Nothobranchius furzeri: one gene and its partners. The protein of the gene in region 2 purifies or fractionates together with the protein of the main gene of each other region. This does not show direct contact. Links are inferred from orthologs where the notes say so. Each region holds a gene or a part of one and is shown on either strand. Other genes may lie near its edges. The genes, in order: claspin, rad9a and rfc5.

Region 1 (4,069 bases), on a different chromosome or scaffold from region 2:
TAGGTAGGTTTTCTTATTTGAGTTGTCACACTGAGCTCTATTTGGTGTTTTATTGGATTCAATTAAAGATCCTGAACACCCTGAAGTTAAGGAGCCTACCTTGGTCTGAGTCAGAGACTGGGATGGCATGGATTCTGGAAAAACAAGAGAATCTAAAATGCAGACAAAAACAGCATTATGACAAGACCACAAGGGCACTTAGACTGCTTACAAAGGATGATGTGGTGAGAGGCCAAGATCAAAATGCATGGAGCAGAAACGCCATTGTTCCTCAGTAAGCTGACCCAAGATCATATGAAGTAAGACCTGAAGGTCGTAAACTCAGAAGGTACCGTCATAATCTGCTGAAGAGCAAAGACGCCTTTTAGGAGGAACAATGTGGTGAGAAGGCAAGCTGTTGTGGCTCAAGCAGAGATGGTGCCTGCCATAGGAGGACATGAAAAGCAGAGGAAAGTGATGTCTCTCCAGGACCTGTGTTGAGGAGGTCAGCGTACCACCAGAAACCAGTCGGGGTTCATCTATTGTCGTATTTCTATGTTGAGCGTACTGCAGAGAGAGGGGTGAGATTCTTCTAACGCACGGTCGTGCACTCGAGCCTGCGCACGTGCCCAAGTGCACTTACAGAAGACCCGGAGACCGCAGATTCAGGCTTGTACTGTTTTGAGACAGCGACCTCTAAAGGATCAACGTGTAACTGCAACTGCAGATTCAAGCTTAACCGTTATTTATAAATAATATGTAATTGTCGGTGAAGCTTATTAAAATAGTTTATTCGTTGTTAACGCTTCAGTGAAGTAGTTCTCAGAATACAAATTTGAAAATTCCTGAGTAAATTTTAATAATAAAAGCTTTTATCATATTTATTTAATTGAAGTTGTTTGTAGAAACAAAAATAAAAAACTTTCCGATCGTACTCCATCTTGGAACGCTAGCTAACAGTGGGCGGCGCTGTCTCAAAAACAGTACAAGCCTGAATCCTGTGGGGCGCAGCAAACTTAGCCGCCCGCCTGCGCAGCGCTGGTGGATGTTTTAATTCCTCCACTAACTGTGTCGTCACACTGGGCGGATACCTCCGTCACAGATGGTCCAATAGCAGGGCGAGAAGCGCTGGACTGACAGCTCGCTGGTGAAAGACCGCGGGCCAGCTGTCACGGCGCGCGAAAGTGTAAACTTTGTGTTCGGTGAGCGGGTGAGGCGGGAGGAAGCGGAGCTGTCCGGTAAAACGCGGCCTAGCTGTTCGGTAAGGAGCTGCAGTAGAGTTCTTTTCACGGACACGTTGTTCTCGGTGTCGGTAGCGGCTGTAGCCGTTAGAGGAGCGGACGGAGCCTCGTCCCTGCCGGGAGCGGGCGGACCAACCGGAGCACAAAGATGAGCCTTGTCCTGTCTCACCTGCAGGTAAAGACGCTAGCAGGCGGCGTCAGTGGAAGGTGTACAGACAGGTACATGTGAGACAGGTGTGTGTTCAGCGTGCTGGAGGGAAACGTCACCAACAAGGTGCTAAGGTGCTGTTAGCCGCTTAGCTGCTAACACCGAGGAATCGGTTCTTCCGTTCACCTCGTTCTAATTCGGTAGAGCTCCGTTAAAAAGTCACATCAAACAGTCCGAAGGTCCGGTAGCCGTTACCGGACAGCTGGGCGTTCGGTCCGACACGGTTATCCAGCTGTGACGTTGATTCATTGTTTTACTGACCGAAGGCGCCATGAATCCGGCTAGCAGCTGGTCTGGGATCAGCTAGTCCGCCTTGACCCAGACCGTGTTTCTGATCAGGACTGGTCCCAGACCAGTGTCTCTCTGTGGCCCGGAAACCAGTCCGAACCAGGTCAAACGGCTCTGGTGTGAGAGGTGGAACAGCTACGGGTTCTAGACCCGGTTCTCACACACACACACACACACGCACACACACACACACACACACACACACACACACACACACACACACACACACACACACACACACACACACACAGGCTCTGAAGTCTGTCTCTCTTCAGACTGAGGCGTTGGCCCGAGCAGCACCACAGAGCCACTGGGACAGCGGGATGGGTCCTCCTGCAGAGGAGGAGGTCCCAGAGACGTCTGATAGAGGAGATGAGTGTCCAGGTGAGACAGACCTGCTGCAGGACGCTCGTGGACAATCAGGAGAAACCGTGGTCCCCTAAATCAGTTTTTCTCTCAGATTCAGATGATGACATCACAGTTCACAGGAAGCCTCGGCGTAACGCCATCAGAGACAGTGACAGTGAGGAAGAGGAGGCACCAAGACGCCTGGAGCTGTCTGAAGAAGCGGTACCTGCCTCTAGTGAGGACGAAGAGAGGAGGAATAAAGGAGGACAGAGGAGCAACAGAAAGGCTCGTGCATCTGATGGTAGCGATGGAGAGCACGAGGAAGAGGAGGAGAATAAAAGAGAGAAGAGTCAAAGGCATCGAAAGAAGAAAGAAAAACGCAGCAAAGTGGTGGAAAGCCTGAAAAGGAGAAGGAGGTCTGGTGGAGGAGAGGAGGTGAGTTCCGTCTGAAATTTTCATCCAAATAAATCCAGAAATCTTAAAAATAAACTGGTCACCTTTTGCTCTTTCCATCAGGACGTTCCTCTTCCTCCAGCGCTGAACGACAGCGGCTGTCCTCTGGGTGATCCAGAGCTGTTTAGCACCGGTCTGGAGGAGGAGGAGGAGGAGGAGTCTCTGGACGCCATCAGAGCTGCGGTCAGACAGAAAGTGAAGAAACACAAAGTAAGAACAAGATGTTTACGTCACTCTGACCCTAACTCCGCTCGTGTTCTGGATGAGAAGAGTCCGGACGTGTTTCAGGAGGAAGTTTTGACTAAACTTGTTAAATGTGACTGTAGGACCCCCTCCTGGAGGAAGAGGAGGAGGATGAAGAGGTCCCAGAGAAGCCCCAGCGAGCGGTAGGATACAGCACCACGTTAGACCAGGTAGACGACTCGGACTGAAGGTAGAATAAACTGATTGTCTCTGGGGGCTCCAGGAACGGAAAGCAGCTCGAGCCAGCAAGGAGGCGATGAAGCAGCTTCACAGTGAGAGCCAGAGGCTGGTCCGAGGTCAGTTCCCCTGGCTCTGCTCTGCTTTAGCTGCAGGGGTTTGATCTGCAACACGCTAAACGTTTCTCTGCGTCTGTAGAGTCGACGCTTGGGTTGCCATACCACATCCCTGAACCCAAAACCATCGAGCAGTTCTTCAAGAGGAGGACCCGGCCGGAGGGATCGGCCATGGCGCTGCTGAAGTAAACAGTAACAACTAGTAGCCCTGCGTTGGCGCGGCCCTGGGTTGGGTCGACGCGGCCCTGGGTTGGGTTGGGTCGACTCGGCCCTGGGTTGGGTTGGGTTGACGCGGCCCTGGGTTGGGTTGGGTTGACGCGGCCCTGGGTTGGGTTGGGTCGACGCGGCCCTGGGTTGGGTTGGGTCGACGCGGCCCTGGGTTGGGTCGACGCGGCCCTGGGTTGGGTTGGGTCGACGCGGCCCTGGGTTGGGTCGACGCGGCCCTGGGTTGGGTTGGGTCGACGCGGCCCTGGGTTGGGTTGGGTCGACGCGGCCCTGGGTTGGGTCGACGCGGCCCTGGGTTGGGTCGACGCGGCCCTGGGTTGGGTTGGGTCGACGCGGCCCTGGGTTGGGTCGACGCGGCCCTGGGTTGGGTCGACGCGGCCCTGGGTTGGGTCGACGCGGCCCTGGGTTGGGTTGGGTCGACACGGCCCTGGGTTGAGTCGATGCGGCCCTGGGTTGGGTCGACGCGGCCCTGGGTTGGGTTGGGTCGACGCGGCCCTGGGTTGGGTTGGGTCGACGCGGCCCTGGGTTGGGTTGGGTCGACGCGGCCCTGGGTTGGGTTGACGCGGCCCTGGGTTGGGTTGACGCGGCCCTGGGTTGGGTTGGGTCGACGCGGCCCTGGGTTGGGTTGGGTCGACGCGGCCCTGGGTTGGGTTGGGTCGACGCGGCCCTGGGTTGGGTCGACGCGGCCCTGGGTTGGGTTGACGCGGCCCTGGGTTGTGTTGGGTCAACGCGGCCCTGGGTTGGGTTGGGTCGACGCGGCCCTGGGTTGGGTCGACGTGGCCCTGGGTTGG
Region 2 (4,371 bases):
GAAGCTCTGGGCTGGGAGAGAAAAGTAAAAATCTTGCCACCTGCTTCGTCCTCCACATGGTTCCTGACCCACATCCGTTCATCGCTCACTGTCACAGTCACTTCTTCCACAGATAAAGGGAAGTGAACAACTGTGTCCACCAGCAACCTACCAACAAAGAAAACAGAAATAAATTCTTCATAGTATATTTAACTAAACAAAATGCCACTTTGTTTTTAATTACACGGTTAAAAATGACAGAGATTAGTCTTTAAAAGCAGCATTATGAACATTAAGTCTAAGAAATCCAACAGAAAGAGCATAAATGCTTCATTTAAAAGTCCACAGACAGATGTTACAGACCTGGGATGGGCTCTGAATACATTGGCATAGCTATCTTTATCAAACACTGCCTGTAAGCTCTCACTGTCCTGGTAAGACAGGTTATGTGTCTTCAGGAGACCTGCAGAGAAACAAACCCTTAGAGGTCTAAATGACACACCGTAGAATAAAATGTAATGAATTCAGAGCAATTAGTCAGAAATGTGTCAGAATAAACGTGTTGTAGCTGAGGTGCAGGAGGGGCTCTGTTACCGTGTTTGCAGTGCAGCGTGAAAGTCAAGCGGTCCTTTGCTTCATCAAGCTCTATGTGACACTTTTCTACAGTTTTCTCCAAAGTCGCCACAGATCTGAACACAGTCTGCACACTCTGATTCACACACAGGGAAAAACATCTATTTAACAGAGACAGCACCATGTCCATGTTAACGTGCAGCAGAAATGAGGATTAATTAGAAGATCGTGAAGTTCTAAACTGCCTTTTGACTTTCAGAACATTTTCATAAGAAAAGTAACCCGTTTTACTCTGTAAGTCTGTCTGCAACCATCAGGAGGAAGTTTAGAGGTTTTGCAACTAATAAAAAAAAATTCACACAGGTAACCACAACAAGCCTCTGGTAGCAACACAACAGGGAAGATGACATTTGTAAATGAGCACGACAAAACTTCTAACTTCATTCAACTCATTCCGGTTCAGCAGCGAGTTAGTTACTCATAACTATAACTAACTTTGGACTGTTTGTTAAAACAACAGGTCCTTTAGCCAGGAGGTGAGCCTGAGGGCTGTAAAGGTCAGAACATTTGTAATGAATACATCTAATGACCAGACTTATACTAATGTAGCAGAACAGCTAAAAGTCACAAAAATAATTCAGCTCTAAGCTTGAGTTCCCAAACTGAAGCAGAAGTAACAATATTACATATCTACCCTGTACTCAAGAGCATGCTGGCTTCTTTACAAAATATATAGATTTATTTGTTTGACTAACACCTTTTTAAATGACATCTTTAGAATTTTGAACATTGAATATTTGTAATTTATAAATTGCCAGTTGTTCAAAAATAACCTTATGAGGCTTTACTAATCCCAAATCTACCCCCAGTAAAAGCTCAGGAGGAAAAAATCTGGTCAAACAGAGCAGAGTCAAACCACGTAGCACCATCGTTATCCAAATACTACTACTACTAAACTTTATTTATATAGCGCCTTCACATGGCCCAAGGACCAAACAAAGCACTGCACAGCAGAAATAAACATTAAAAAATAAAAACATATAAAACCATTTAAAAACCAACAAAAACATGCAGATAAAATCTAGGTGGGGCAGCAAAAAGTGCAAAGCCAACCAAATGGTTGTCTTAAAGCAAGCATACAACAGCTAAACCGTCTGCAGTGATAGAACACTATGGGACCTAAAATTTGAAATCATCCATTAGTTTTTTAAATTGCTTCCAATTAGTCAGATGTCCTTGTGACCATTAAAAGTGATTTTATGTGACAGTTAAAGCTCTGTGAGCATCTTTCAGAGATTTTCTTTGGACTTTGGCTGCTTATTTACTAATTTCCACCCCAGTCTCTGTCATTTTTAAACAAATGTTTATCCCATTACTGCATGTTGATGTGGAAGAACTCAATTTTCTATTTTACTGCCTCTTCTCACACAAATAACTTTACAATTCAGACTCTAAACAGCTTCTATTCTCACACCTTTATTGCCATCTTGCAGCGGAAGTTGACCTCTTTACGGATGTTGTACCTGCATGAGAAATGAGATGGCCTTTAAGTTCTCCCATGAATGTGCTGTTCACTGACCCAATCTAAATTCCACACAGAGAGGGGAGAGTCTGCACCTGCTGAAGAAGAGCGGTGCGAACAGGAAGCATGCGTACGCCGACCGAGAAGAGTTCACGGACCGCAGGGCCAGCTACGAGAGAGAGAGAAAAACAACAAATTCAGCACTGTTCATTGACGCAAAGTGTGCACCAACAGGAAGCAACCAGACTACATGCACGGCAGGAAGTGTCGGTTTATCAAAGCATCAGTTCAGCTCACCCCGTCACCCTGCGGCTCCACGTACAACTCGTCTCCGATCCTGGACAGGGAGTGGATGGCTTTGGCCAGCACTGGACGGTACACACACACATACACACACACACGCACGCACAGCCACACAGTTAATGTCAACGATTCATTATTTTCGCTGTCAAACCAACCGACACGGTTCGCTACCTTTCACGTTTCCTCCAGTCACCACACACTGCATTTCTACTAACTTTTCCGTTAAGTTAGCAAATCAAGAAAAATGTTAGACAAAACTAGCATCCACCACCGCGAAGAAAAACGGTTAGGGTTTAATGAAGTGTCCAGGGAACACGAGTCTTCCTGTCAAAAACATTGTTTTCTTCTTATTTTGTAACAAAAAAAAATATATATATATATTTTATCAGCGGTAACTTCGGCTCAACCCCATCCTTCTTGCCTCTTGTTTACGCCGCCATAACCCATTTCCGCATTATGGACCAATCAGGGAGAGGGAAGAACCGAAACGAACGTGGGTTCTGTAAGCGCATGCGCAATCCGTTTACACACGTTTACTGATTTTTTTTTTTGAAAATAAAACGATGTTTATGTGTAATTTAACTATCTAAATATATAAGCCATTATATTAAAATAATTGTTTATAATGAGGGAACATATTAGTTACGTATTTAATAATATTTTTTAATGACTAATAAAAAAGCAACATTAGTTAATTCCTGTGTTTATGTTTTTTAACATATTTATAAACATAAACCAATGACCTAGCCGACTCGTTCCTTTCTTTTTTTAAATGTTGACTTAGACAACAAGCAACTCAAAGTTTATCTGGATTCTTCTTGTTTTATACCTCAGAGTCTATCAGAAGAATTAAATCTGAACGTACTGTATGTCTCAAAACAGGCTGGGCCAACCAATCACAGCATTACAAAGAAGATGAATGATTTAGTTCAGAGAATTTAGAAGGAACAGGTTATTCCAAATATGCTTTCTTATTTGTTTCATTTTGAAGAAGCATGCTATTAATAGCTGTAATTAGCAGAGTAGACTCAGTGTTGAGAAAGAGGGTGTACAGGTCCTTCTAAAAAAATTAGCATATTGTGATAAAGTTCATTATCGTCTGTAATGTACTGATAAACATTAGACTTTCATATATATTAGATTCATTACACACACAACTGAAGTAGTTCAAGCATTTTATTGTTTCTAATATTGATGATTGCATACAGCTCATGAAAACCCAAAATTCCTATCCCAAAAATTTTGCATATTTCATCCAACCAACAAAAGAAAAGTGTTTTTAATACAAAAAAAGTCAACCTTCAAATTATTATGTTCAGTTATGCACTCAATACTTGGTCGGGAATCCGTTTGCAGAAATGACTGCTTCAGTGTGGGGGGGCATGGAGGCAATCAGCCTGTGGCACTGCTGTGTCATGTTCTGAGGAAGGTGTCTAACCCAAGACATGCAGAATCAACCCAGGAGACAGTATAATGAAAAATAATATTTTTATTCGTGGATAACGGTAACTGAGGGCGCACTGGGAATTCCAGTGGACAGGGGAAACGCAGTGTTGGGGTAAAATGAGTTCAGCGAGTGAGGGGATGGGTAACGAGCCGGGGGTATCCAGGTGTGCGGTTCCAGAGCTGGAGAGGGAGCGGGTAGTCGTTGGAGAGCGGGTTGGTCAGAGGTGAATGGATGACGTGGCGTGTGAGCAGAGCAGAGTCCTATTAAGCGTGGTGAGGGAATAATCCAGAGACGAGGAGAACCTGAGGTCAGAGATCCAAGAGACGTAAAGTCACAAAAGTCCCAGGAAAAGGTACACATAATAATGTTCACAAAAACCAAGAGCCAAGTACGAGGGCTGGAAACTACCAGTCAGTAGCAATCATCCGGCGTCGAGTAGTGTCACCTTCCTCCTTAAGAAGTCAACCTGCTGATTAGCTGATCAGGTGCAGCTGCCGCTCCCTCTCCTGCAAGACACAACTCAGAGATCTCATGTAGAGAGACGAGT
Region 3 (3,610 bases), on a different chromosome or scaffold from region 2:
CAAAACTAAAATATTAGGTGAACAGAAATGACAAGTTACAGTGAAGCCATTTTCAAACAACTGCATTGGTATCGGTTAACCTTTACCGATACTGGTATTGGTGCCGATACCAGTATCGTATCGGTGCATCCCTACCTGGAAGTGTTAAGTCGCCACAGCGTTCATCATCACATCAGTAGAGGGGTAAACTGGTGCTCTCTCTGGGATTTCAGAGCACCAGCATGGCGTACGGGAAGGTCACGGAGGACACGGTGTACACCTGTACGGGCCAGCCCCTTCGCTCAGACATCGCCAACATCCTGGACTGGTGCCTCAACAAAGACTTCAACACTGCTTACAACCGTATCCTTCACCACCACCTAATGTGTGGTGGTAGGGCTGCACAATATGTCGTAAATATATCGTTATCGCGATATCTGCATGCACGATATGCATATTGCAAAGAACAGATAAATATCGCAATGGTCAGCTCAAATGTTTGCTACACATGATGCGTTCTGTCAGATGGAGGCATGATGTTTTCTTAACAAATAAAAGAGCTTTTCACCCGTTTGGCCAGTCGGGTGGGTTCTCATGCGTTGGAGGCCCGCCCCCGAGGCGGACGGCACTTAATTTTGATGGTTGGCAAACGCCTGAGTCAGCTTAGTTCTGCTGATTTAGCCTTTCCCGGGATCCACCGATCGCCTTTTCTTTTTCCCTTTCCTCGCATCTTTTGCTTTTCTCATTTTTATGACTTTTTTTATTTCTTTGTTTTTGATTATTTTAGTTCCTGAGTTAAGTTTTTATTTATTGCAAATAGAGGTGCTGAAAAAAATCGATTCAAGTCTGAATCGGGATTCTTGTTTATAAAGATTCAGAATCGATCCACAAAGGTTCAGAATTGATTCCAAGAACTGAAATACTGAAACTGAAACTGGATGACCCGGTTCCGGTTGAGTGAACGCTGGCGCGTCTCGCTGCCGCTGCTCGCTGGCAAACAAACTTTTTGTATTTTTTTTTTCTTCTTTTTCACCCTGGTCACATCCCTGTGTCGGTGAAAACTCATTTTCACCTACCTGTTCAGCTTGCGTTCTGGTTGCACATCACCACCTCCCTGCTCCACTCCATAATGAGGTCCAGCAGGATTTCTGTGTGCCTCGCACTGGCCTGGATCATCCTGTCGCTCATTCTTCTGTCCGTGGATGGCCTTCTCCAGTACTCGGCGGCGGAGCTCTTCAACCTCCGCTTTCGCTACTCCGGATCTCCACCACCAGCTCTGTGCCTCTTCCCCGACATCACCTTCCAGCCTCGCCGTCGGTATATCCATCGGGGGTCCCGGCGGAACCTCCATCTCGACGGCTCCAAAGGAATACCCTCCTTCTGGTCCACGACTAGCCGGCGGCTACCCAGGAATACCTGCCGAGCTGCCGACTCCAGCGTGTTAGCCCGGCTGGCTAGTCGGACTAATGCTCCTGTCGCCAGGGACTTCCGCACTGCTAATTTTGGTCTTCTCAACATTCGCTCCCTCTCTGGTAAAGGACATCTCCTCCAAGATACCATCAGTGACCATAAGCTAGACTTTCTTTGTCTGAACGAAACATGGCAACAACCCAGCGATTTCTCACAACTCAATGACTGTACTCCTCCCGGATTTGTTTACCTCTCCAAACCCCGTGGGTCGGGCCGCGGCGGTGGTCTCGCGATACTGTATCGCGAGACTTGGAAGGTCCTTCCCGTAAACCTTCCTCCTCTCACCACTCTGGAATGCCTCGCCTGTCAACTCTCCGGCCCGACCCCCACAATAATTGTCACTGTTTATCGTCCCCCCAAGTTCAGCCCTGAGTTTTTAAATGAACTCTCTGCTCTTTTATCCCATCTGTCCGCCCTTTCCCCAAATGTAATTTTACTTGGTGATTTTAATATTCATATGGACAATATGGCCCTCCCCCTCAGCAAAGACTTCTCCTCATCTTTGGACAGCCTCAGTTTTCATCAATATGCCAATTTTCCCACTCACATTAAAGGTCACACCCTGGATTTAATCTGCTGCTCCGGCCTGACCCCCTCCAACTGCACAGCTGACCCGCTCCCTTTCACGGACCACTTCCTCATCTCCTTTTCTGTTCCCCTCCGTCTCTCCATCATCAAGTCACCACGTATCATTTCTTTTCGTAATATTAAGGACATTGATCTAGCCTCCCTGTCCTCCAGTTTTGCCACCCTGACCCCTAATTTGTCCTCTACTCCCGATGATCTTGTCATTCAGTACAATAACGGTCTGGTTTCTATCCTTAATTCATTTGCTCCCATCAAATCCCGCTCTGTATATTTTACTCGGTCTGCTCCATGGTTCACCCCTGCCCTTCGCTCCTTGAAAGCTACCAACCGGAGGCTTGAAAGACTCTACAAGAAAACCGGTCTCACCATCCATAAAGACTTATATTCTGCTCAGATTTCTCTCTACAAGGACTCCATCTCCCATGCCAAATCTCAGTATTACTCCGGTCTCATCTCGTCCAACTCCAGCAACACTAAAACATTATTTTCCATCATGAACAGCATTTTTCAGCCTCCCGACTCCTTACCCATCCATCTTTACTCTTCAGAAACCTGTAACTCTCTCCTTCAGTTTTTTAATGAGAAGGTCAATAGAATCCATCTCTCTTTACCTCATTCCTCCCCTCCCTCTCCTGATTTATTTGAACCCACCATTCCGTTCTCCTCCTTTGAACTTCCCCATCCCTCAGAAATATTAGATTACATCACCAAATCCAAACCTTCCACCTGTCAACTGGACCCTATTCCAACTGTTTTAGTTAAATCCTGCCTTTCTTCTCTGCTCCCTTTTATAACAGCCATTATTCATTCCTCACTATCCTCTGGTACGGTCCCATCCCTATTCAAATCCGCTTCAGTCAGCCCTATTCTAAAAAAACCTGGTTTAGATCCCAATGATTTCAATAACCTCCGTCCCATTTCCCATCTTCCCTTCATTTCCAAAGTCCTTGAGAAAACTGTTGCATCTCAGCTCCATTCACATCTCACCCGCAATAACCTTTATGAACAGTTTCAGTCTGGCTTCCGTCCCCACCACAGCACAGAAACAGCACTTATTAAGATCACTAACGACCTACTCATTGCTGCTGATTCTGGTTTAATCTCTATTCTTATTCTCCTCGATCTGAGTGCGGCCTTTGACACCATTTCTCATCCCATCCTCCTTAATAGACTCTATTCCTTAGGCATCACTCACACCCCCCTCCGCTGGTTTCAATCTTACATTACTGGCCGCACTCAGTTCATCCAGTTAAAATCCTTTACCTCAGAACCCTCCCCAGTCAAGTCAGGTGTGCCCCAGGGCTCTGTCCTGGGGCCCCTCCTCTTCATAGTATATCTCCTCCCTATCGGCAAAATCTTCCGCAAATTCAATATCCAGTTTCACTGCTTTGCAGATGACACCCAGCTCTACATTTCCAGTAAGCCCAACTCAACTCTCCCACCATCCTCCCTTACACTCTGCCTCTCTGAAATCAAATCATGGTTCACCTCTAATTTCCTCAAACTCAACGGCAATAAAACTGAACTTCTTCTAGTTGGCACTAACTCCACCCTCTCAACATCTGACAGCTTT

Evidence for each region.
Region 1: the proteins of rad9a (region 2) and claspin purify together in Homo sapiens (affinity purification with western blotting; 3 studies listed by BioGRID and IntAct, with this or other methods). This does not show direct contact. The link is inferred for Nothobranchius furzeri from reciprocal best matches to the Homo sapiens genes RAD9A and CLSPN.
Region 3: the proteins of rad9a (region 2) and rfc5 purify together in Homo sapiens (affinity purification with mass spectrometry; 3 studies listed by BioGRID and IntAct, with this or other methods). This does not show direct contact. The link is inferred for Nothobranchius furzeri from reciprocal best matches to the Homo sapiens genes RAD9A and RFC5.

What each region holds. Positions count from the first base shown.
Region 1 is NC_091759.1:26,753,885-26,757,953, forward strand, and holds the start of claspin, read left to right. Parts: upstream 1-1,233; 5' UTR 1,234-1,368; coding exon 1,369-1,395; intron 1,396-1,991; coding exon 1,992-2,100; intron 2,101-2,176; coding exon 2,177-2,499; intron 2,500-2,580; coding exon 2,581-2,727; intron 2,728-2,843; coding exon 2,844-2,903; intron 2,904-2,983; coding exon 2,984-3,056; intron 3,057-3,135; coding exon 3,136-3,238; intron 3,239-4,069.
Region 2 is NC_091741.1:91,717,523-91,721,893, reverse strand, and holds the start of rad9a (cell cycle checkpoint control protein RAD9A), read right to left. Parts: upstream 2,811-4,371; 5' UTR 2,583-2,810; coding exon 2,549-2,582; intron 2,450-2,548; exon of another isoform or gene 2,443-2,449; coding exon 2,372-2,442; exon of another isoform or gene 2,348-2,371; intron 2,244-2,347; coding exon 2,170-2,243; intron 2,076-2,169; coding exon 2,027-2,075; intron 689-2,026; coding exon 574-688; intron 443-573; coding exon 343-442; intron 148-342; coding exon 41-147; intron 1-40. UniProt on the Homo sapiens protein: Component of the 9-1-1 cell-cycle checkpoint response complex that plays a major role in DNA repair. The 9-1-1 complex is recruited to DNA lesion upon damage by the RAD17-replication factor C (RFC) clamp loader complex.
Region 3 is NC_091750.1:34,481,243-34,484,852, forward strand, and holds part of rfc5 (replication factor C subunit 5), read left to right. Parts: intron 1-212; coding exon 213-342; intron 343-3,610. UniProt on the Homo sapiens protein: Subunit of the replication factor C (RFC) complex which acts during elongation of primed DNA templates by DNA polymerases delta and epsilon, and is necessary for ATP-dependent loading of proliferating cell nuclear antigen (PCNA) onto primed DNA.